Bombyx mori: one gene and its partners. The protein of the gene in region 3 purifies or fractionates together with the protein of the main gene of each other region. This does not show direct contact. Links are inferred from orthologs where the notes say so. Each region holds a gene or a part of one and is shown on either strand. Other genes may lie near its edges.

The links.
Region 1: the proteins of splicing factor 3B subunit 2 (region 3) and Phf5a purify together in Homo sapiens (affinity purification with mass spectrometry; 4 studies listed by BioGRID and IntAct, with this or other methods). This does not show direct contact. The link is inferred for Bombyx mori from reciprocal best matches to the Homo sapiens genes SF3B2 and PHF5A.
Region 2: the proteins of splicing factor 3B subunit 2 (region 3) and cell division cycle 5-like protein purify together in Homo sapiens (affinity purification with mass spectrometry; 3 studies listed by BioGRID and IntAct, with this or other methods). This does not show direct contact. The link is inferred for Bombyx mori from reciprocal best matches to the Homo sapiens genes SF3B2 and CDC5L.
Region 4: the proteins of splicing factor 3B subunit 2 (region 3) and U2 snRNP-associated SURP motif-containing protein purify together in Homo sapiens (affinity purification with mass spectrometry; 3 studies listed by BioGRID and IntAct, with this or other methods). This does not show direct contact. The link is inferred for Bombyx mori from reciprocal best matches to the Homo sapiens genes SF3B2 and U2SURP.
Region 5: the proteins of splicing factor 3B subunit 2 (region 3) and DnaJ-21 purify together in Homo sapiens (affinity purification with mass spectrometry; 3 studies listed by BioGRID and IntAct, with this or other methods). This does not show direct contact. The link is inferred for Bombyx mori from reciprocal best matches to the Homo sapiens genes SF3B2 and DNAJC8.
Region 6: the proteins of splicing factor 3B subunit 2 (region 3) and pre-mRNA-processing-splicing factor 8 purify together in Homo sapiens (affinity purification with mass spectrometry; 3 studies listed by BioGRID and IntAct, with this or other methods). This does not show direct contact. The link is inferred for Bombyx mori from reciprocal best matches to the Homo sapiens genes SF3B2 and PRPF8.
Region 7: the proteins of splicing factor 3B subunit 2 (region 3) and 14 kDa subunit splicing factor 3b fractionate together in Homo sapiens (co-fractionation; 5 studies listed by BioGRID and IntAct, with this or other methods). This does not show direct contact. The link is inferred for Bombyx mori from reciprocal best matches to the Homo sapiens genes SF3B2 and SF3B6.

Annotation. Positions count from the first base shown.
Region 1 is NC_085114.1:14,383,839-14,387,340, forward strand, and holds Phf5a (PHD-finger 5A), read right to left. Parts: upstream 2,023-3,502; 5' UTR 1,968-2,022; coding exon 1,916-1,967; intron 1,842-1,915; coding exon 1,651-1,841; intron 1,208-1,650; coding exon 1,118-1,207; 3' UTR 501-1,117; downstream 1-500. Other genes in the region: ATP-dependent RNA helicase DDX47, read left to right, coding at 3,300-3,419.
Region 2 is NC_085115.1:11,723,283-11,726,343, reverse strand, and holds the end of cell division cycle 5-like protein, read right to left. Parts: intron 2,904-3,061; coding exon 2,712-2,903; intron 2,017-2,711; coding exon 1,811-2,016; intron 1,611-1,810; exon of another isoform or gene 1,412-1,610; coding exon 959-1,411; 3' UTR 501-958; downstream 1-500.
Region 3 is NC_085131.1:3,902,031-3,906,242, reverse strand, and holds the start of splicing factor 3B subunit 2, read right to left. Parts: upstream 2,801-4,212; 5' UTR 2,425-2,800; coding exon 1,500-2,424; intron 103-1,499; coding exon 1-102. UniProt on the Homo sapiens protein: Component of the 17S U2 SnRNP complex of the spliceosome, a large ribonucleoprotein complex that removes introns from transcribed pre-mRNAs.
Region 4 is NC_085111.1:15,847,100-15,849,667, reverse strand, and holds the end of U2 snRNP-associated SURP motif-containing protein, read left to right. Parts: intron 1-433; coding exon 434-505; intron 506-809; coding exon 810-975; 3' UTR 976-2,068; downstream 2,069-2,568.
Region 5 is NC_085115.1:4,913,982-4,918,090, forward strand, and holds the start of DnaJ-21 (uncharacterized protein LOC101735997), read left to right. Parts: upstream 1-1,309; 5' UTR 1,310-1,385; coding exon 1,386-1,442; intron 1,443-1,751; coding exon 1,752-1,943; intron 1,944-2,839; coding exon 2,840-2,968; intron 2,969-3,511; coding exon 3,512-3,619; intron 3,620-4,109. UniProt on the Homo sapiens protein: Suppresses polyglutamine (polyQ) aggregation of ATXN3 in neuronal cells.
Region 6 is NC_085114.1:12,599,545-12,603,044, reverse strand, and holds part of pre-mRNA-processing-splicing factor 8, read right to left. Parts: intron 3,320-3,500; coding exon 3,114-3,319; intron 3,012-3,113; coding exon 2,821-3,011; intron 2,422-2,820; coding exon 2,286-2,421; intron 2,177-2,285; coding exon 2,007-2,176; intron 1,748-2,006; coding exon 1,600-1,747; intron 1,262-1,599; coding exon 1,133-1,261; intron 435-1,132; coding exon 274-434; intron 45-273; coding exon 1-44. UniProt on the Homo sapiens protein: Plays a role in pre-mRNA splicing as core component of precatalytic, catalytic and postcatalytic spliceosomal complexes, both of the predominant U2-type spliceosome and the minor U12-type spliceosome.
Region 7 is NC_085111.1:9,667,854-9,672,147, forward strand, and holds the start of 14 kDa subunit splicing factor 3b, read right to left. Parts: upstream 2,801-4,294; 5' UTR 2,728-2,800; coding exon 2,698-2,727; intron 2,599-2,697; coding exon 2,480-2,598; intron 1-2,479.

The DNA of each region.
Region 1 (3,502 bases), on a different chromosome or scaffold from region 3:
CTGTAGTTGCAAAAATGTCGCTTAAACCAAATAGCCCCCTTCACCCCTCGATATAATAGTTTTCTCATTCAATACCATAACTTTAAAATATTTGCTTGACCACCTAATTCATTGTGTAATTATATAGTGTTACTGACTAGTACTATATAATACTACTAGCTGGCAAATGTTGTTTTACCATATAAATTATTTCTAGGAAAGATAAATAACCTAGATACCGACTGCAGCGCCCTCTGCTGGGTTGATTTGTGAATCTAAACCATCCAGGGTGCCACCCAAATGCATACAAACACAATCATTCAAATCAGCACAGCCGTTAAGGAGGAGTTCAGTGACACACACACGCACATAAGAAATATATATATATAAAGATATAATATAGTCCAGGTATGTGTAATTCCCGGATAGTCAAAAGATATTTGATTAGAAATTACTTAGTTATGTTTGGTTGTTTCCCAGACCCATGACGAAGGAGAAAATGGTAGTGTAGGGCCATTAAATGTGTAATACCAATGCATTTATTAATAATTACATAATGTCTTAATGTAAGTACACACTAGAAACATAGTTTTCAAAATATGACAGACAACATTCACACAGTACAATCACTCTCATTACATACATGAATATTGCTAACATATTGTCTGTAGTTTTACAGAGCACATGGTAGTCAAAAATATCTTTATTGACAATTTAGTAGAAAAATAAAAAATAAAAATGAATCTTAATAATTTAAATGCAAAAACTAAATGTATTTTTCAAGTATTTTCTTTCTAGTTGGAAAATGAAAACTAATCTGCATTGAATAAACAAAGGATAAAAAAAATTGTAAAAAAATAACAGATATCATCGATAACAACAATCCAATTGTATAAATGAATGAATTTAAAAAAATATATGTGAATTTCTCTTGGACCCGAGCTGCAACTCTTTAGACATTGAAAACCATACTTGATCATAATAGCCGTTGGCTTTAAAAAGTCAACAACAAAGTAGTTGATAAAAACAAACTTGTATTTCAATCAAACTTTAGTTGAGAAAAACCTCTGTTTTTATTATTTTAAATAACAGAAACTTTGCAGAAATTAATATTTAAAAACTAAAAAGAAACCTAATGCTAGTGTCTCCTAAACCCATATTTCTTTCTCTCGTAGAACAGATCTGTTTTAGAGCTTCCCAAATTGACAATCTTTGGACAGCCATCTCTCTGTGAAAAATAACAATTTTATTAGCATAATAATATGTATTATTATTATTATTATTATTGTTATCAGCGCACAGACGTCCACTGCCATCGTCCATCGGTCCATCTTGTGGGAGGCCTACCCACGCTACGTCTTCCGATACGCGGTCGCCACTCAAGAACTTTCTGGCCCCAATGGCCATCTGTTCTACGAGCAATGTGTCCTGCCCAATGCCACTTCAATGCCACAATCCTTTTGGCTATACATTTTATTAGGCTTGGCTTAATGTACATGATATTGGGGACGCACACAATCATTATCAGGTCACTTGATCAAGTCAGGTTGACTAGTTTCTTGTGAGTTTTTAAACTATCAAAATATAACGATGTTTTTTGATTTGAGGAAATTTAAATTAATGATTTCGATGCGATTATTTGAGTTCAAAAATTACAAAATTAAAACTTACATCCTTCTCCTGTATCGTGCACTCCTTACAATAATAAGCATCAGATACTCCAGGCCCGCCGCAAATCACACATCGCCCCTGATACGAGCCATAGTTGCACTCGTCACAAATACGAACCAACGTGCACGGACGCACATAAGAATCGCAAATCACACATTTTCCGTCACATTTCTCACATAAACGTCCAATAGCTGGAAAAATAAGAAATAGCATTAAAACAAGCGACACTAAACTTGGTTGTCTTCCATTTTTTAATACTACTAACCGACTCCGGGCTGTTTCCTGCAGAAAATTAAATCTGGATGATGCTTTGCCATGTTTTTAGTTAGGTCTGGTCTGCTGGCGAATGTTCTTTGATTGTTATTATCAAACTTGCCGTTTACTGTTTTTTTATCGAATAACCTACAAAGATTTTGACGATTTTGACCCGGTAATTTTGACAAGTGGCACCATAGATATATTTTTTTGTTACAATTTTTCCTTATTAGGAAAGGCAAAGGGATCTAAGCCCATACCGCCTCATTTGTTCTATATAATTTCTGATATAAATTTATAATAAAGCCAAAGCCAGGTCTTATAGGATTTAAATTATATGAGTCGACTATTATCAAAGCCGGCAATCTGACTTTTGGACAATGATTGGTAAATCAGAAAAAACGAATTATTGACTTTGTATTCCATTGGCAGTCACAAAACTCTTCGGAACGACATCTTAGATAAATAACAGGTTAACTATTAACCTTTATTTAATGCAGGTTTTGAACCGTATTCTTTGAAGGAGACGATTATATTCAAAACAATCTGTATTGACATATCAATAATTTTTTTTTGTCCAAATGCACAGATTGCCACCTTTGATAATAGACGACTCATATCCTGAAATAAAAATTTCATTAAGGCCGAAGCCATGTCCTATAATTTGGCACCATAGATAAGTAGTAGTAGTAGTTTCATTTTTCCAAATGGAAAGGCAAAGGTATCATAGCATACAGCCTAACCTTTTATATATTTTTTTTTATTTTATGAAATATGATACTATGAAATGAAGTGTATTAATTTATGAAACATGGCATAAAATGAAATGAGATGAGATGATATAATATGGGGTATTTTTATGGAAAACGATAATATGAAATGAAATGAAGATGATTAATTTGAGACAACAATCAACTGGGATGAAATTAAATGAAATGAGATGAGATGATATGGGATGAAATATAATCTCAGTAAAATGGTGGTCATTTACTGAGATTTTTTCAGTGGACTTTTTGGAGGATCCCGAGAAGTTACGTCCAGTGGCTTTGTTTCATTTTCCCACATTTGTGCACTGTCACAGATATTAAACAGTTAATAAACCACCGTTATTACACATTTAAACCTGAAGAAACACTAAATAGACAAAATAAAACAAATCACACAACTTCACTCCTCGCGTTCCCACCAAAAAGTCTAATTGCCGGTTTGCGATCGGTCTTAATTGTCAAGTATACTTTTGACAGTTTTACTTCTTTGGTGACACATACGTCACATATTATATGTGATAGATTCAGAAATCAGAAATCAGAAATCAGCATACCCCTAATTCAAACACATGCTTTCAATATTCGCGTCTTTTTTGTATTCCCCAAAACAATGATAATTTAGAGAAAATGACTGCAGACAAGGAAAGCTATGGAGACGAAACCAACCAGGATAGTGAGGTGGAACAAACTCCAACCGAAAATGTCAACGAAGATACTGAAGATGATAAAATAACATTTAAGGATTTGGTAAGTTTTTACATTAAACTGTGTTTGTAATACTAAGTAAATACTGTAATATAATTTTATTGATTTTAATATCAAATGGTGCC
Region 2 (3,061 bases), on a different chromosome or scaffold from region 3:
TGTGTGTTACATATTTATGGTTTCATGCATTTCAAGTTTCCAATCTTGATGGATAGTGTCGTACACTTGTAACCAAGCCAACAATTATATTATGGCCTACTAGAAATTCAATATTAAATTTAAATTTAATTTGTTAATTGATGATCTTTGTATCCGTAGATTCGTATATACATTTGGTTCTGTGATATAAATTATCAATCTAACTGTAAATATCAATTATAATCGAGATATATTGTACTACGAATTATGTCATTTGTAAATAATAGTATATTGTAATACATACATGTAAAGATAAATGTGACCAGTTTTTTCTTCCATACTAAAACTACAGAGTAACCTCGCAAAAAATATACATACCTTACCATCGAAAGAAGATTGATGTTGGTAAATTTCCGCAATGTCAATAATCTAAAGTATGGAGTTCTTATATCCATTATATAAATAGTATATAAACTAAATCTTTAACATTCTAATGGATTTAACTACATTGAAACAAAAAATACTACTTATTTATGATTTATTCTGACCTTATTGTGTAGATATAATCGTTGTTTTTTTTTTAAATTATAGTGTGACTAATGATCTAATGCGAAAATAAACACGCACACTGGTAAACATGTGTTGTCGAACCATTAAAAATGAGGTTTAAAAAACTATAATGGAAACCTGATATTTATTACATATTTTTGTTATAATCCTACTACCTATTATTCCAGTGTTTATTATTGTTACTCATCTTCTAATAGAAACGTTGTCATTAACTATACTACAGATAGTCTTGATCCACTGTTTAGTTTTTACTATTAATTCATCAGCACTAAATATCAGATACGTCGATACAGAGGTAAAACTTTTAACTGCAGCTTCAAATGTATGAGAAACAATTTTGCGGACAAACGATAATATCTTCCTTAACTTAGTGCGTCATTACTCCATTTTAATATTTACAAGAACATTTTTATGCAGTCGTTTTTTGAGAATTAACATTTTCGGAAACTTGACTTTTCTTCCCTTTCTGCATGTTTTCTACCTCGGTCTGTAGTTCTGAGTATCGCTTTTGCAAAAGCTTCTCGCGTTCAGTCTGTCGGCTGACGTCTTCGGTCAACGATTCTATTCTACGTGGAATGGCCGCTTTCTCCTGTTCAGCCAAGAATTTAAAGGTCGATAATTCTAAATTAGCTTGTTCTATTTGATCTTGTAATTCTTGAAACTGTTTTATGAGAGCTGCGGCACGACTCTGGTAACCTCCTGTTAGCACACGAAGTTTCTTTTCCATTTTTGAACATTTTTTTGCTTCCTTCGCCATGTGATTTCTATTCTGCTCTAATCTTTTCTCAGCAGATTCTAAACGATCCTTCTTGCTTGCCAAATTAGCACGCGTGTAACGATGTTGACCGGGTAGAAAAAGTACCTATAGGAAAATGTGTGTAATTACTGTAATGTGCTAATTGATTGATTTCTTTAATCCTACGATTCAGTTAGTAAAAAGGATTATTGGAAAATTATATATAGATTTAACATTATAAGCATTTTGATCTCGGCCACTTCTGTACCACCACTTCACATTATATTTAGTATAATAAGTATTATTACATTATATTTGCAAGCCAGATTTTGTTTCTTTTTATTTGTGTATTTATGTGTCTTTAGCTTGTGATGTGTATTGTGAGCCTAATAAAATAAATAAATAAATAGTAACATAACACTTCCAAAGAATAGGTGCTTTGATTTAGTCAGCCACTAAAAAAAATTGGTAGCATTGAAATATTGTGCGAAAAGGGTAAAAAAAATAATACTATGATTCTCATACCTGTGCTAAACATTCCTCCCAGACTTGAGTGTACGCGTCTATACTAAGGTCCCCATGACTCATTCCCGCTTTCACGACTTCCATTTCTTTCTTCAGTGCTTCTTTAGCGGCAGCTAATTCTTCGTCAGCAAACTCTTCATATGGATGCTGTTCTAAGTATGCTAAATGGGATGCTTGTAGTTGAATAGCACGCTTTTTATCTACACCTGAAAAATATAATTCTATTAATATTTGAATGTCTTTACACTCTTAAGGTGAATTTTGATTCCTGTATTCCGATACCTTTGTTAGGTTACGCGATGCTACAGAATTACCGCATATTAAAATTTAAATGCTTATGTATTCACGAAATCGAATTATTAATCGTATCCGTAGTAATGGCCTCAATCAGTTCATGCCACATAGGGTAATAAATGGGCTTCATTTTCAGAGCTTACCGAAACTAACTTGATTTTTTGATTGTGTCACTCTGTCTTTGTAAAATACTGATGTTAACAAGGTATGTTGAGAGCACGGTTCATACTGTAGCAACAAAATTCAAAACGTTGAGCAAATTTATATTTGTAAAAGCTACGGCCACCAGACTGGTGATGGCGGTACAATAGCTGGTCAGTAACCACCAACGAGGCAATCAAGTATTTATTTATTGCTTAGATGGGTGAACGAGCTCAGCTGGTGTTAAGTGGTTACTGGAGCCCATAGACATCTACAACGTAAATGCGCCACCCACCTTGAGATATAAACTAAGGTCTCAAGTATAGTTACAGCGACTGCCTCACCCTTCAAAGTGAAACGCATTACTGCTTCACGGCAGAAATAAGCAGGGCGGTGGCACCTATCCGCGCGGACTCACAAGAGGTCCTACCACCAGTGAAATGTTTGAATGTGTGAAATAAGAAACCTTCAGGCGGGTCCCTGAGGGCATCGTAGTGCAGCATGGTGACCATCTCGGCTTTGAGCAGTTCCTCGGCGTGCTGCAGCGGCGTGAGGGCGGACAGCGAGGCGGCACCGCGCAGCACCGACACGTTGACGTCGGCCGGACGCGCCGCGCCGCGCTGCACCGCCAGCGAGCGACGCGACAGCTCGGCAGCGCCTGCCGATAATCAAACCGAGTTGGTCGTAGCGACTTTTAAGTTCAATGAAGTTCAAACGACGAGTACATTTCATATGTGGCTTATAAGTAAAAATCCTCGCAAAAAAAACTTTCCAAAGGTATAGGCGATGGGTTCGTTAATAATTCTTACAAGAGCA
Region 3 (4,212 bases):
GTGGATCAGGAATGTTTTCATCGTCTGACTGTTCATCCTCTTCCACGTCATACTCCGTACTGATCACTGGAGCTGGCGGTGCTTCCATGTCTTTTTGCACATCTGTATAGGGGCAAAACATCATTATAAGGTACTGTTTAATGTGCTATTTTTTTTATTGCTTAGATGGGTGCACGATCTCACAGCCGACCTAGTGTTAAGTGGTTACTAGAGCCCATAGACATCTACAACGTAAATGCGCCACCCACCTTGAGATATAAGTTCTAAGGTCTCACGTATAGTTACAACAGCTGCCCCACCCTTCAAACCGAAACGCATTACTGCTTCACAGCAGAAATAGGCAGGGTGGTGGTACCTACCCATGCGAACTCACAAGAGGTCCTACCACCACCAACAAGGTAAGTGTGCTATTTTATATACAAAATATATAACTTTATAACTGACCCTTTTTTACAAAATAGAACTCAAAGTAAAGTGCTTGTTTGCCAATGTAGTTACCTCAATTTTTTTCAGAATGTCTATAGGATTTTTGAAAGAAATATGTAGGGAACATTTTGGATCTTAAAAGAGCAACATATACTGGTAGTAGAGTGTGCTGTGAGCATGCACGAGTGTGTACCATCACCTTGCCTATTTCTGCCATGAAGCAGTAATGTGTTTCGGTTTGAAGGGTGGGGCAGCTGTTCTACTATGAAATTTAGACTTACAATTCATGTCTGATGTTGGGTAGTGGCTTTTATGTGTTGATGTCTATGGGCTAGTATTTTCTGCAGATGTTGCATGATATAGGTATATTTAAAGCTACAGCTACAGTTTTACAGTTTACATCAGTGACCAGAAAAACTGTAGTTGTTCAAAACATTGGAAGCAATAAAATCACAATTAAAATATGAAATTAAACCATAAAAATTTTCAGTGTGATAAAAAAAAAATTTATTAAATATGGAAGTAATTTAGATTGCCGTGATAGATATATAGAGATACTGGATAAAAGAATAAAGGCTGGGCTATTTTCATTTAGGCTAAGAAACATAAACTTAGTTAAGATGGATGTTTAAGTTTACAATCATCATAATTAGTAATAATGTGCTCAGACTTTTAGAAATTCCAAATAGTTATGAATTTGTAGTCATCTCCTAGTAAAAATGAAACTTAAAATCGATTACAGACATTGACTTGGCTATTGACAATGATTAACTATAAAAATAACATAGAAATGATTAAGAAGAGAGTATCAGTATGTTTTGTATTTCATTTTATTATTCGTTTTTTGTTTCATTATCAATAATAAGTCCATTGAAAAAGAATACATTTTTAAGAAAAATTCTGAAACACCTAAGTGAATTTAAATCGGGATGGCAGTTCTAACATACAATTGAGCCTTCAACCATATATAATGGTGTGGTGGCTTTCATGTTGTGATGCCAACGGGCTCCATTGATAGTTTAATAATGTGTGGGCCATGGCTTGTTCACCAATCTATAAAATAAAAAAGTTACCTGTTTCTTTATCTTCTTCACTACCAAGAGCTGCTTGTCTTTGGTCTTTGTAAGCAAGAGCTTCTTCCAGAGCCTTTGGGAGTACTACACCTCCAGCATTTCCCTGTTTATTTTTAAATTCTTCTGGTGTTTCAATCTTCATGGTCAAGAGTGATGGCAGAGAAGAATGTTGGTCAGAGGATAAATCTTCTTCCCCATCTTCTTCTTCTTCTTCTTCATCATCATCATCTTGATCATTCCATCCTGGCGGACCATCACTTTGCATTCCCCACCCAGGCCCAGGGGGGCCAGGTGGACCAGGTGGGCCTGGTGGTCCATCCCATGGTCCCATAGGTGGTCTCATCCCAGGTGGTCCCATGTCCATATTTTGATTATTATAATTATTCTTATTACGCATCATATTTGGTGGCATTCGGGGTGGACCCATTCCTGGAGGTCCCATTCCGGGAGGACCCATTCCGGGAGGTCCCATACCGGGTGGACCCATACCAGGAGGTCCCATACCCGGGGGGCCCATTGGAGGTGGACCCATTCCAGGCGGCCCCATTGGCGGTGGTCCCATTCCCGGAGGCATCATTCCTGGTGGAGGTGGACCTATTCCCGGCGGCATGTTTGGAGGTCCACCAGACGAGCTAACAGGTGGTGGTCCAGGCGGACCCATTGGTGGAGGCCCCATGGATCCCGGTGGCGGTCCCATAGCTCCTGGTGGCGGTCCCATAGTTCCTGGTGGTGGTCCCATAGTTCCTGGTGGCGGTCCCATAGTTCCTGGTGGCGGTCCCATAGTTCCTGGTGGCGGTCCAATGGACCCCGGTGGCGGTCCCATAGATCCCGGTGGTGGCGGCATCGGAGGAAAGTTTGGCATCCCCGGTGGAGGCCCCACCGAAGCATTGTTATTCGTAGATCCGGTCCCTGGTGGACCATCCATAGCTAATTCACAGTACTGCTACTGAATTCACTGTATAAAATAGACTTTTAACTACAAAGGTATGATTTAGTTCGTGATTATTAAGATCTATTCATTTATAAATTTACAGTAAAAAACAAAACTGATTTGTTTGAGGTTAACGCGCTTGACAATAAGTGTCAACATACCACAGAGACTGTCTTGTCTATGGTATAATGTGGAATCTATGTGCTTAATTATAGATAATACTTACTGTTGTTTAAGTCGTCACTTTTTCGGTTCTTTTTTGGCCTTTGGTTTTAGTAAAACTTTGTGAAGGTCAATTTGACAATCGTCTTCTGTTAGAACTATCGATTTAACCAAAAAAAGGTTTCCAAGTAGATAGTTTCCGAATAAACAGTACTAAAACATATCGAACAAACCTCCCTTGAATTATATTTTCTCTTAATGCTTAAGGACGAACGAGCTAACGGCCCACGTAATGCTAAGTGCTTAAAGAAGCTCATAGACTTCAACAACGTAAATGCCGCCTTCCACCTTGGGATATGAGTTTTTACATTTTTTACAATACAACGGCTGCACCACCCATCAAACCGAAACAAATTGCGTCACGGCAGAAATAGGCATGGTGAGCCCGCATACACCTGCGCGGACCGACAAGACCCTTCCAGCCCTAGCACCAGTTAGTACCACCAGGAAGTAAATAATTATACTATTACAGATCGTACAAATTGCGTGCGCACACTGAATAGTTTTTTCTTTGCAAATAGGCACTATCCCTGTGATAGCACTTTCATTGAGCCCTCTTTGGCATGTGATGAGGAGAAGATATTTTCTAGAGAGAATATATCTTCTAGATCGAGGTTATAAGTAAGTAACTACTTAAATCACTTTTAACTCAAAAGGTTTATGACCGTAAACCAAGTTTAATGCATTGAATGGTAAAAATTATTTAAAAAAACTAGACCGTATAAGAATTATTGTAAAAATCCCATCACCTTCGGATTGCTCATTAAATTTTTTTTTGGTGACCTATTGCTAGTAACCACAAGCGGCTATGTTAGTTTCGCCGAACTTGTATGCGAGTTCACGTGGCCTAGCCTAGGAGACTTTGCGAGCATCAGCCCTAGCAAGAGCAGTGCTTCGCTGAATCTACCATCGAATCGGAATTGCGATTCACGCCGTTGATCCGCTTCGACAATGTTGGCACATCAAAGAGCTTCTTTTTATCTTTGCAGTAAAGTTGAAATTGAGTAATATTCACCGTAGTATATTTAAAATTTGCAGAAGCTTTTGAGCCTTATGTAGAATCTAATAATAAGATTCCATTTTTTGTTAAATTTATTGATTTAAATAAGTTGAATAAATCTAGTAATGTCTATCTCGTTCTGACGCTTTTACCAGAATGAACAGCGTACATAACAGCACTTTTGTTGTATAAATTTAAAGCTGCCGTCGAAAAATTTAAACAATTAACAAAGTAGTCTTAATTAAGACGTCGATTTTTATCATTTTTTATCTGATTTACATTGTTGACACTATAGTCACGTTTCATTCGTTACAGCTTATTTCGGAAATAAAAAGCTAGTAAACCAAGAAGAGGGCCTCAAAAAAATTAACGGATTGAATCGGATAAAATGCGCCATGGGAACTAAATAAGGGATTTCGGATTTTATGACCTGGTAACTGAGACCTTTAAGTCACATCTTATTTTAATTTATATTCATATTTTTATGAAAAATGATATTATGGAATGAAATGAAATGAAGATGATTAATTTGAGACATTAATCAACTGGGATGAAATGAG
Region 4 (2,568 bases), on a different chromosome or scaffold from region 3:
TGCCCTACGCGGTGCACTAAAATAATTATGTCAATTGCTGTTACTAATGCGCCAGGATTAACTTTGCCTTCTTTTGTTTTTAATGTATGATTTATTTTTTTAGATCTCTCACATATAGATTCATTCTCAATATCTTATAGTTTAGGGCTAAATGACCGACCGTGTTTCATTTGTTTACGATTATTATATGTTCTAAATGAAATCATTTACAGTTTATTGAAAAGGAAATTAAAGTAACGTCCAATATTAGTACTACATAATATTTGCAATATATTTAATTAATATCATATTAAATATACAATATTTAAAGAAAAAATATATATGTTTTAATATTGTACGAAAAAGTGGTTTAATATAATTTTTATATTGACATTTCGACTCACCAAACTGTGTGTCATGCAAGAGCCTATAATTTTGACATTTGCCTTTTCAGAACTTCATCTAAGAAATCAAAGAAGTCCAGAGAGCCTACGTTATCGCCGCCGCCGAAACGGTCGCGTCACAGGTTAGTTAATACACCTGACACTGAATAGGAAGTTAACAGCATTTTTTGTTTCCCTGCTAGACTAATTAAACAAAATTCCATGGGGTTCACAATGAATATATTGGTGAACTACATGTTAAGCGCCATGTGTTTGAACAAATTAACAAATTTATATTAACGTTGAGAGTTGGAGTCTTCTCAAACTTTTGAGAGCCAGCATCTTGGGATGCGTAAAGCTTCAGACGCAGATTACGGAAAATATCGCATTTCGTCGCGGATACACGTACACGGAAAATAAAACGCTTTAATTATTATTTGATTGCAGTGATCGCCGTTCCCGATCCAGGTCTAAGTCTCGCGAGAAGGACAGAGATCGAGAGAGGAGCCGCGACCACGAGAGAGAGCGAGACAGGGATAGGCGACGTCGTTCGCCGGCCACGCCCCCCTCGCACCGCAAGCATCACACCAAACACGCCAAGTACAAGTACTGACAGTCGGTCTAGCAACACCACCCCACTTGGTGTGACCAACGGATGGACTATTGATAACTTATCCTGTGCTACTGCAAACATTTTCATTGCATATTTTTATACAGATTGACTGGTTGAACACTTTACATACTCAAGGACATGATAATTCATGGTCACGTGTAACGTTTAAAAATATAAAATTAAAAATATACAAATGAAATACAAAGAAAACCTTCATTAAACGAATTTGCTAAAACTTGAAATTTGTGGACACCGTATCAAATATCGTTTGCGAAAAGACCGGCGCCCGCGCGTGTTTTGTTTCGTCACTGAATGGGTGTGCCGCAGGGCGGGGGTGAAGCGCCGCCCGGGGGTAAGAACAGGGTTGCATCTAATCAGCGCGCCGCGTTCAAACGATACCGCGATCATCGACCGGTGTAAACAAACCAGTACATAGGTACCTTCCTACCTTGCCGCATGACCGGCCAATTCTGTACTTCGCGCGAGTGACCACGCTTATTGTTTCGAGTAGATAATTAAAGATAAATTAGACAAATATTAGGAACCTATTTTTTTTTTGCTTAATGAATATATAATATGTGAATAATAAATATGTGAAGTGTTCAACCATTCAGCCTGTATAAAGGAAATTAAAATGAGACAGATTATTGGTAAACTGTTCCGTAAGTGAAAATGGGTATGAATAGAATGCCGTTGCAATTTATTTACATGGATTTATATATTATATGGATAAAGTGATCAGTGATCAGTAGGGAAAACTAATTCAACATTAACATGTTTATAATAGAATCATAAATAAATGCAATGATGATTTAATTAAAAAAAACGAAGCTTCAAACATGATCTTTCATGGAAAAAAATACACTTTCACACTAGGCATATAGTACTAGCAAGTAACAAAGACATTCTATATTATCATTACTATATTGCATGGTTTTGGTGACTAGTGTACCCGAGATAAATATAGAATTATGTTCGTTCGTCGTGAGTGCCTGATGATGCTCCCATATCGTCCTCAGCTTTTGAACGTTCCATCGCGTTTGACATGTAAATATTAGATCGTAATAAGAATGATTAAATGTATGATTGAAGAGCTGATGTTTTATTGCTTTTTTTTATAAACCTCAATAAAAGACCGAAATATAATTAATTACATTAGAGGTAATCAATCCTCCTATAACACAGTATTTTACAACACGATTCAGTAATTCTCCAAACCTTCTTTATAACACGGTACTTCTACAACACGATAAATACATAATTACATTAGAGGTAATCAATCCTCCTATAACACAGTATTTTACAACACGATTCAGTAATTCTCCAAACCTTCTTTATAACACGGTACTTCTACAACACGATAAATACATTTTTGTTTGAAATTGTTTAGTAAATTACATTATGCACTATAAACACACATTATAAAGGAGTAACCGAAATTTTACTGCTTATTTTTGGAACGAAGTTCCTTGCGGCAGGCTTGGAGGGGATAGGGATTTTGCTGCGCGACCGAACTGAAAAAAATGTGATAGTAAAACCGTAAGAAAAAATCCGTGGAAAAAAGTGCGTGGAATAAAACCGTTAAATGAGACG
Region 5 (4,109 bases), on a different chromosome or scaffold from region 3:
ATATAAGTAAAATCGTAAAACAGTAGGTAGGTACATACCTTTCAATAATGTACATCACGTATCGCATACAACACCCATTCACGCATCCCTCAGACCGTCCAGGTCGTCCAGTAAATTGACAGGATAATGTGCCACCTGTGCTATTTAACCTGTCATGTATACTGAATGAATAATGAAGTCAAGACGACTTTTTGGCGGGAACGCGAGGAGTGAAATAGTGTGATTTGTTTCATTTTGTCTATTTAGTGTTTTTTCGGGTTTCAATGTGTAATAAAGGTGGTTTATTAACTGTTTAGTATCTGTGAAAGTGCACAAATGTGGGAAAATTAAACAAAGCCGCTGAACGTAACTTCTCGGGATCCTCCAAAAAGTCCACTGAAAAAGTTTCAATAAATGACCACCATTTTACTGAGATTATATTTCGTCCCATAACATCTCATTTCGTTTAATTTCATGCCAATTGATTATGTTTCCTTCGTTTTTTATTATTCAAAAACTGGAAATAATTAAAACGGCGAATTATAAAAATCTTATTACTTGACGCTGGCTAATGCACAAACCGTGCCGTAGCCAAAAACTAAAGAAAAAGAAGAAGAATGAAGCCAAGAAGCCCTCTTTTCAATATGGAAAATCAGTGTATGTGTAATCACAAAGTTTAACAAATCGGTAAGATTTGCGCCAAGAAAATCCGGAACTGCTGTTGTCTAGTGTCAGTAACCGGCTCTACAAAATATCGGCTCGTCCGTGTAAGCTATAATCTATGTTAAGCTGCTCTGCTAAAGTAACATAAACTTTTTGGCGGGAACGCGAGGAGTGAAGTTAAGTGATTTGTTTTATCTAATAATTTATCTAATAGTTTTGTCTAATAATGTTACTTTAGTTTTAAATGTGTGACATCTGTGAAACTGCACAAATGTGAGAAAATGAAAAAAAGCCGCTGAACGTAACTTCTCGGGATCCGCCGAAAAGTGTACTCAAAAAATTTCAGTAAGTGACCACCATTTTACTGAGATTATATGTCATCCCATATCATCACATCTCATTTTATTTAATTGCATCCCAGTTGATTAATGTCTCAAATTAATCGTCTTCATTTCGTTTCACTCCATAATATCATTTTTCATAAAAATTAGAATATAAATTATGATAAGACATGACTTAAAAATCTTAGTTACCAGGTCATAAAATCCCTTATAAAAAACCAACTTATTGTTACACGCTTGTCACTATTTGTCAAGCTCAACATAATTTCATTCACATTTCGTTCAATTTCAATTCATTAAAATGCAAAAAAGTAGCATGTGAATATTTACTGCAATATTAATTGGAATTAAATGAATTAATTTAATTTAGTAATCTCGTTACCCTCCAATTCACATTTAACAATGACTTCGACGACATCGACAAACAGGGGAGATTCTTTTGACGAATTTTACACAGAGGTAAGCCATGTTCAAATTACAACGATGGAATCACCAAATGTTACATTTTAAATTATACAATACTTTTATTAAAACTGATAAAGCTGTTGTGACATGCTGAACGAAAGAACATGGTACACGATTGGTACATGTAGAGAGTTTGAATAACAAACAAAACAGATACAATTTGTTTCTCATACCTTCATGCTTACTCTAAATCATGTTTATAAATTGTCATGCATAATTAATAATCGAAAAAAAAACAAAAACATTTTAATCAAGCATTTGACAAATTCTCAATGATGTTTCGTGAATTTCTGTTGTTCATAGGTTAAAGAAATTGAAAAACGTGACTCCGTTTTGACACCTAAACAACAGATTGAGAGGCTCCTTCGTCCTGGATCCACTTATTTCAATTTAAACCCATTTGAGGTACTTCAGGTTGAGCCTGATGCTACACTTGATGAAATCAAAAAGAAATATAGGAGATTGTCAATTCTTGTCCATCCGGATAAGAATATGGTGAGAAAACATTTCAATAACCAAGATTAGTTGGTAGTCTATAATTTGAAAACCCACAGTGAAGTTCTGAAATTACATTGGTACTCAAGACTTTTTTAAATTTTTCTTAGTATTGCATTATTAGAATTTTTGAAATGATGAATGTTTTTTGGTAAGATCTCCACAAGATTAGGCGGTTACGCCCGTCAACTATTCATTTTCATCCACAGATTGGTTGAGACCCTGGGAACGCCCTGTGACTCCACTACATAGGTAATGTATGGAATGCAAAAGGGTTAAAATAAAAATAGTGTAATAGAGACAAAACGACCTGATTAAGTTATATTATCTCAATTTACTCTATTATTTAGTGTATTGTTTTAATTTGCCTGAGAAAATTGAATAAAACATACAGAGCGACAGGCTATTATAGCATCTCAATATTTTTCTGTGTACTTCAAAACTATAAATATCGCAACATATTATGATTATACTTGTAATTAAATTCTGCAGACAGTTACCAATTTTTGGAATAAAACATGCATTTGACACATGTTTTTGAATAACTTCCTTAATGAATTATTCAATTTGAGCATGAAATAAAAATGAACCTTGAAAAGATTGTAATTTTTGTAATTATTATACAATTGAGACAAAAAGCTCAAGGTGCGTAGCAACATCTGTAACTCACTCAGTCACATCTGCAAGCTAAAAGCTTGTTCACCGATTTATACTATAAATTAATTAAACACTTTCATTAGTCAAAAAAAAATATCAAAAAATCTCTCACTGAATTCGCAAGTAAAATTGGTTAAATATATTTTTAACATTAATCAAATAAACATTAAAAATAGTAAATAATAACCAAATACCAAACAATTCTAGCAGTAACAAAATTACGGAATTTTAAATTGCAGGATGACTCTGAGCGTGCTCAACAAGCTTTTGAAATAGTGAATCGAGCTTGGAAAACATTAGAAAATGATGACACAAGAAAAAAATGTCTGGACATCTATGAAGAGGCTAAGGAACGAACAGATCATATGGTGAGTGATTTGCTTTATCTAATTACCTGATAAAGGTGATCAAATAGAAATATTGTCTTTGCCAATGTTAAAATCCGATTACAGTACCTATGAAGCCCGTAGTTTCAGATCCTCTCAATCCAATATCACTGCCTTTAGGTACCTCAAGCACCAGTCACTGTCGCATTTTCATTCCGGTGGTAGATTCTTTGAAGCCCTGTTCTTGCTAGGGCTAGTGTTAGCAAATTCGCCAGGTTAGAGCCCCGTGAGGTCACCTACTTGCCAAGCGAATCTAGTTAAATGATTATAAATGAAATTATTTATAAAATTTTAACTTAAAATTTTTGTACTTTTATATTATCATGAAACAAGGTATCATTTTGTTGTAATTATTTGAATTAAAAAATTCAAGGCTAGGCTTAAAAATATTAATCTCACTTCATGATGGGAATCGAAAACCAAAATTATGTTACATATCATTTCACAACAATGACCAATCAACATAAGTTAAACACTGATTTGTACTTATAAAATTGTATTTACACTGCTTATTTATAATTTCAGATAGAACAGAAACGGAAAAAGCTGAAAAAGGAAAACCGCTTAATAGAAACCATTCCTGAAGATGATCCAGAGAAAAAAAAACATGCCGTATATGTTATGACCATGAAAGTATGTATTGCGTAGTGCTGTTTAATTTAATAAAACTACATTTAATTCAAATGAATTTAAAGATAAATCATGTGTATCGGAATCAAATCCTCATGAGTCGCATTGAGTACATTACTTTATGTATCACCAATAGCTATTCAAACATACACCATTATGAATGACTAAGTGAAATTATGATAGGTATAATAGCCGGCAAACTTCTTGAGCATTTGTTGACGTAGTGGGGGTAAGTTTGCGCATGGTACACTCACGTGCAAAAACATTATTTACTCTGCGTCATAATGCAATTAAATTATTAAAATCAACATATGTATTTATTTATATATTTATTAGAACATCAACAAAAAATATAGGTTAATAATTGGGGTAAAATAGATATTCCTTCTATTAAGTCAAAACTAGAGCTGTTGCCAGGTCTTCGTTCAGTTGAAGCGAAGCTGGTATTTGTAATTTTTTTTTCGTTATCATAATCTTGACCATTACCATCATC
Region 6 (3,500 bases), on a different chromosome or scaffold from region 3:
TATCAAGCCAGTACTTTTGTGTAGTTGTATTGTCCATTGTGTCCCTGTGGATTAATACAATTTAAGTAATAAAAAAAATGCTTCTACACTATGTGTATTCTAATAAAATATCACACCAAGAAAACTGTAGGCTTGTATTCTATTTATTCATTCAATTCTACTCAATACAAATAACTTTAATTTGTAAAATATGTTTACATTATTCTATAAAAAATTTCAATGAAATATCATAGCTATAGTTTCATTAAACATCAAAATTCATTGAATATTTACTTTGTATCGGCTAATAAGGATGGTCGGGACACGTTCCACTTGTAGGCTGAGAACAGTAATATATCGGCGCATGATGAATTCATCTTATAAGATTTACGAGGATGAATGGTTTCTTTCTGTACCGTCTCAATTTCTAAGGCGTCAAGTTCTTGATCGAATACCTGTGATAAAATAGTTGTTACGACTATGTTTAGGGAACGAAACCTAAAGTATTAAGAGAGATAGAAATCGTAGCCATTGTGTCGTCGTGACAGTACTTATGCTGAGCACTGGGACTAACTGAGAGTACAAATCCGACAGGAAGTTATATTTCTAGTGAAGTACTTATTGAACATGTGTTCACCAACATAATGCAAACGTTAGTAAACATCTTAAAATAAAAATTAAATCCACAAAATATGCTTTTCAGGGCGTAGTGTTAGCTCGCACGTGTAAGTATCACTTGCTTCTTACTATTGTAAAGCAATCAGGTTTTTTTTTTTTTTTTTTTTTTTTTATTGCTCTTGTAGGCAGACGAGCATACGGCCCACCTGATGGTGAGTGGTTACCGTCGCCCATGGACTTCAGCAATGCCAGGGGCAGAGCCAAGCCGCTGCCTACCAGTTCAATGATGTTGACAATCGTTAACAAAACTTAGGGCTTCACATGATGTCTCAAAATGGATAGGCACTTTAACTTTATATGTGTATAGGAAACGGTAACCACTTAATACCAGTTCGGCTGTGAGCTCACTTGCCAATGTATGCAATAAACAAAAAAAAACACTATAAATGAACTCTAGATATATAATACCAAATATGCATGCAACAGTGCCCTATCTATTTGTTATACTTTTTAAATTATAATAAAACTATTTTACCTGACAAAGATCCATAACAATCGACTCGTGTACTTTCTGCCACAAGTGAGCTCTGAAGATTTGGATGAGTGAAATCTTCAATGTCGGAATCTTACCGTGCATGAATATACCAGTAAGATCCAGTTGTACCTGAAAGAAAATTAATTTATCACATTATCATATCCATGCATTAAAACTTGAATATCTCATAACATACACTATTATGTTGTTTAAATCGTCTTTAGCATTTATAGATAAATAAGTAAGATGCCAAGAGAGAAATTTTATTCAGAGTCGAAATGGGAATAAATTACTGCCCATTAATATATTTTAAGGTGACAGGACTCGTGAAATAAGCAACCAAATCTCAATAAATCTAACCATAGCTAATCATAAAAGTACTTTTCAATTTATTAAGGCCATATTTGTAAACTTAAAATCATAAAATCTCACGAGAAGGTAATGTATAGGCAATGTGAAGATCTTACTTGAAAACCGACGTAGACGTTCGCTCTGTTGATTGTAGGCGACCACCATAATGTGAATCGACGGTTCGGGATCTGATTCAACCCGGATCGTTGGGCGTTTGTCAACTTTTTGTACTTCATCGACTCTTCGAAACCAGACGCCTTTTCCCTAAGTAAATGAGTTTTATTTATTACAAAAGCGCACTTATTGCAAACATTATAATTGTTTTTTTTTTTTTTTTATGTCACTTAAAAATAGCCTCCGATTATTGTACATAGCCTAGAAACAGGTCACAACCGGTCATCGAGCCCAAGTTAGGATTCCCTGTGTTATGGGTACCAGATACTATATTTCCATCATCATTTATAATCAGTAAATTCTCAACCATTTTGGATTATAAGTAAATTTATTATGTCTTATGTCATACCAGAACAAACCCTCCCAAGTCGGGAAGTAAGTTCCCTTGAACAATGTATGCTCGAGGATACCCTCAACTCCTCCCAATGCTTGTATCATATCTGTGCGATAGTTGTTCAAGTTCCACAGTTTGCCGTCGTGACGCTGGTGAGTCCACCAGAATGGATTCTGCTTTAGGACCTGTTTTGAAAACATTTGTTTCAATTAATTCACATTTTCTATTAAATAATTTAATTTATACACAAATATATAGATATATGAATAAATTGTTGTGTGCAATTAATCTTACCTGATACTGTTTGAATTCCGTACGTATACGCCATCCCTTATCGTAAGCGAGTGTATGCCTGTCTTTTTGGAAAAGTGTGTTGATCCTCGGGATACCCCTGTCCCAAGAATCTTCCAAATCTTCTAGAGTCAATCGTCTGTAGTACAAATATGATTTATAAAATACCTTCTTTCAAATCAAATATTCAACTTGATTAGTTTTATTTAGATCAGTTAGCGTATTTTCAGACAGACAGTGCTACAGTACATTGCGATCAGCAAGTCTATAGTCACGGTCTGCCCCCAGAGCACAGGGACTCTCTGGTTTCAGGACCCCTACGCAGTTCATCACTTGTTCTTAAATTTAAATATTTATCATTTCAATTCTCCAACCAAAATATGATTAAATTGGGATTATAGAGTAAGTAATATTTGTATGTATTTTTACAATTTACACAGACTTAGATCAGTTAAGTTATTGTTAAATCAAATCAAAATCAATCAAAAATGTTGTTAGAGTACTGGCTATCATGGACATTAGAATAACTCAAAATTACCTATTCTGAGCATTAGCTTCCTGTCTCTTAAGTGCGTATTCAGCCCAGACTCGCTGGGAGTCTACAAACTCAGCTTCCCAAGGTTGTATGTAGCGGTACAAGTTCGGAATTAGTTGATCTTCATCATGTGACATTCCAGAACGGAAATGCGTTATGCCGACGTCTGTTTGTTTTGACCAACGTAGGTCAGACTAAAAAAAAACGCAAGTTATCAAACGATTATGAAGAATCTTGATACAATTCATCAACAAATATTGCTGTTTTGTAAATTAAATTTTAAAATAAAATCTCACCTGCGGGATCAAAACATGTCCCATAGACAACATTCCTAAACCTCCAAGTTCTTTGGGTGTGTAAAACACGACCGGAGGGAATCTCGAAGGCATTTTCGAGTTAAGGCCAATCTTGATACGAGTTTGAATCTTATTCTCGCATTTCACGAGTAAGTCGAGGAGTTCTTGTGTGTTAACAACGGCCTCGCGGAAGTATGTCATTAGACCTATAAATAATGTCTTAATTTATGCAAAGTTCTACATTGATGAAATAATATAAATTCGTTTTTTTTTAAACGTTATAAGTACTGTTTGCAATACGAATATCAGCAGTTATTTACAATATTTAATTGTGATGGTGTTCACTCTGCTCTTTCCAAAGCAGAGTTATTCTACATCAAATACTAT
Region 7 (4,294 bases), on a different chromosome or scaffold from region 3:
AAGTTGTGTTTCGGTTAGATCCGGATAGCTGGAATCAGCGTAGTCAAGAATTGGAAGAAGTAAAGACTGTGCAAGCGCAGTTTTAGTGGCAGTTGGAAGAAAATTTCGTAACCGTCTCAACGATCCAGCTGATGCAAACACCTTCCGGCTAACCTCTTTTATTTGTGCGTTCCATGAAAGGTTTTTATCAATTAAGATACCCAAATTTTTCACAGTATCGCTGATAGGAATTTGTGCGCCGTCAAATAAAATAGCCGGAAGCTGCGACCATGTAACTTTCGAACACATTCTTGAACTACCGACAACAATGACCTGTGTCTTTGACGGGTTCACCCTCAATCCATGAGACTTACTCCAACGGGACAATATCGATAAGTCATTGTTCAGGATCTTTATCGCGTTGGTCAGCTCTGGTAAAGAAGATTGCGTATATATCTGTAGATCATCTGCGTACAGGTGGTAGGAAGAAGTAAGTTGTAAAGAAATAGAATTTATAAAAATTTAAAAGAGTAAAGGAGATAAAACGCCACCCTGCGGTACACCTACGTGCGTTTCACACCATGAAGAATAAGCATTCTCACAGTGAATACGCTGTCGGCGACCAGACAGGTAACTGCGAAACCAATCAACCACGGTTGGAGATATGTTAATGGAGCTAAGGATGGCTAGAAGTATGTCGAAATCGACGGTGCCAAAAGCATTACTGAAATCCAGCAATGCCAACACCGTCAGTTTCCCACTCTCCATGCCAAATCTGATGGCATCCGTAATATGCACCAGGGCTGTGACCGTGCTATGGCCAGGACGAAAGCCGGACTGATAAGGGTTTAAAAGCTCGTTTCTCGTAAGAAACTCACTGAGCTGGTTGTGAATCAGGCGTTCTAAAACCTTTGAAAGAAACGGTAGAATGGAAATTGGACGGTATTCTGAAAAGGATGTAGGATTCGGCTTTTTTGGCAGTGGTGTAATCTGTGCTTCTTTCCAAGCCTTTGGAAAGATGCCGCTAGATAATGATTCATTCAGGATATGACAAATAATGGGAAGGATTTGGTCTAGGATAGGAAGGATCATATTACGGGCCACACAGTCACTTCCAACAGCATTGGAAGTTATGGATAATATGCTCCGCTTAACATCACAAGCCGTTAGGTGATTAAAAACAAATGGAGAACAATTTGGGATCGGAAGAGATAAAATGTGATTTAATGTATTAGATTTAATTGTCCCGTCATAAAGGGATGACGCACAGAAATGTTGATTTAATAAATCAATACTCGAATGTGATAGATGAAAGTCATGTTGTAATTTTCCAATCCCCAGTGATTTAAGAAATTTCCAGACTCTAGCTGGATCACCATTTTCGATAGCACTATGGATATGCTGGCGTTGTGCATCCCTACACACTCTGTTGCAGTGATTGCGGATTCGGTGATAATTTGTACTATTGTCAGAGGTTGGTTTTTTTTTATATTTTAATTTAGCAGCTGCCTTCCTGGTCAATAGACTTTTAATTTCATCAGTAAGCCACGGCGCTGGCATATGTTTAATTCTTACTGGTCGGAAGGGTGCGTACTTGTCATATAGATCAGTTAGCTTGGCATTGAACTGATCAACTTTCTCATTGATTGAGGTAGAGCACGTCAAAGCAGTCCAGTCAATGCTGCCAGCATCTTCTCGAAGACTTTCAAGATCCATACCATTAAAACTGCGCAGCAGAAGAGTTTTTGATTTTGCTTTGGGAGGTCGTACTTTATATGAAACGAAGATAAGATCATGGTATGAGAAAGCGTCAGCTGAACACTGTCCATGGTCAGCCACGTGGTCACGAGAAGAAACGAAAATAAGATCAAGAAGTGAAGGAGCACAGTTTGGAAAATGATGAGTCGAGTTCAACGGTAGAACAGTTAAGTTTACTGATTCGATCATCGAGCGAAATAAAGTGGTTCGAGAATTGTTTTTAAGTAGGCATGTGTTAAAGTCACCCATGATAATGGTATGAGTATATGAAGGCATTGTATTTTCTAGCAGAGTTTCAAAAGAAGTAAAGAAATCTATACTTGACGAAGGACAATAATAAACACCAAGTAACATCTTCGTGTGTTGAAGTTCTATTTCAAGAAATAAGTGCTCGCCCGCATATGGCGGCGTAGGCTGTGCCGATACATTAACAACTGCACAATTAAAATACGAACGGATATAAATGGCAACGCCACCACCACCGCCATTAATACGATCGTTCCTAAAAAGTTGAAAACCAGGAATGGTATAAGATGTAGAAGGAAGACATGGCTTAAGCCAAGACTCTGAAACAAGTATAGCATGGATATTCTTAGAATCAAAACTTGCAAGCATGTCAGGGAAATGAGCCGCAATACTCTGGGCATTGATATGAACGACATTAAAATTCCTAGGAACACCTAGGAACACCAGATTTAGCTACGTAGGATCTACGTTAAACAATTAGTAAAGACAAACTTACACTCTTATTTGTCTTATTGCGCCATATTTGCCGAAGATATCATACATTTCTTCAGCGGATATTTTGTAGGGCAAGTTCCTGATGTATAGGATTCTGTTGACTTCTGGAGGTAATCGTACCTGAAATATACTTAACATGTAACTTTCCAATATTTACTGTGATCTACCTAACCAAACATTTGTCAAAGCGTTGTCTTCAATTAACTTTTCAATACTTACATTTGCTCTTCTTTGAAGTGCTAATGCCATTTTGGTGTGGATGAATTATTTTTACAGTTTGTTAAACATGAAAATAGATAGTTGTATGATTTTTTAGGTATGTTTATCAAACTCAAACATAAATGTAAATACCTACCTACTATGTTTATAAATTTTTTTAAAGGTTTTTGTGACCTGGTAACAAGGACCTTTAGGTCATGTCTTATTTTAATATATATTCCATATTTTTTATGAAAAATGAAAATATGAACTGAAATGAAATGAAGTTGATTAATATGAAACATGGCATGAAATGAAGTGGACTGGAACGAGATGAGATGATAAGGTATGAAATATAATTGTGGCGGGTAGCCATCATACAACGCAAGATAATTGACAGATGCCTGAATCTCGCTTACGACATTTTCAAGATAAAGCGCATATATACAAGTTCCGAACAACAACATTCGGACCGTCGGTCTACCGAGCAATATCACCCGCTCGGTGGAAGATCTTCCCTTTGTCGTATATCTCTACAAACTGGTGACCCCGACGTGATCGGTCTACCGAGCAATATCACCCGCTCGGTGGAAGATCTTCCTTTCGTCGTTTAAGCTTCCTACAACTGGTGACCTGCGACGGAACAATCGCAACCTTCTCATTCATCATCAGCGCATCAAGAACTTCGGTTACCACAATCCCCGCATTCTCGCAGATAAAAGCAAGTCATCTACAGTCGTCCCACAGCAAGCCAGCATCGCAGCCTCAACAGGACCATCGCAGCCGACTCACCACGCTTCCTGGCCCTACGGCACGCACCTACACTGCCTCATCGCGCAGCATTTTCAAGCTCAGTCTCGACTCACCGCAGACTTCGAGCAGCACTGGCGACAATCACGCAGCATTCAAGCTCAGTTTCGACTCACCGCAAACTTCGAGCAGCACTGGCACTTGCAAGCTAATCTCAGCACGGACAACGATAACTAAATATGACACGATCTCCAGTCTCGGAGGGGAGTGATGTGGCGGGTAGCCATCATACAACGCAAGATAATTGATCGATGCCTGAATCTCGCTTACGATATTTTCAAGATAAAGCGCATATATACAAGTTCCGAACAACAACATTCGAACCGTCGGTCTACCGATCAATATCACCCGCTCGGTGGAAGATCTTCCCTTTGTCGTATATCTCTACATAATCTCAGTAAAATGGTGGTCATTTACTGAGACTTTTTCAGTGGATTTTTTGGAAGATCCCGAGAAGTTACCTTCAGCGGCTTTATTTGATTTTTCCACATTTGTGCACTTTCACAGATACTAAACAGTAAATAAACCACCCTTATTACGCATGTAAGCCTGAAGAAACACTAATAGAAAAAATAAAACAAATCACACAAGTTTACTCCTCGCGCTCCCGCCAAAAAGTCATACTTATATTTTATTAAGAGATTTTATGACCTGGTAACTAAGACCTTTAAGTCATGTCTTATTTTAATTTTATTTTTTATTTTTATGAACAATGTTAATATGGAATGAAATGATATTAAATGAAATGAGATGATATGGGGTGAAATATAATCTCAGTAAAATGGTGGTCATTTACTGAGATTTTTTC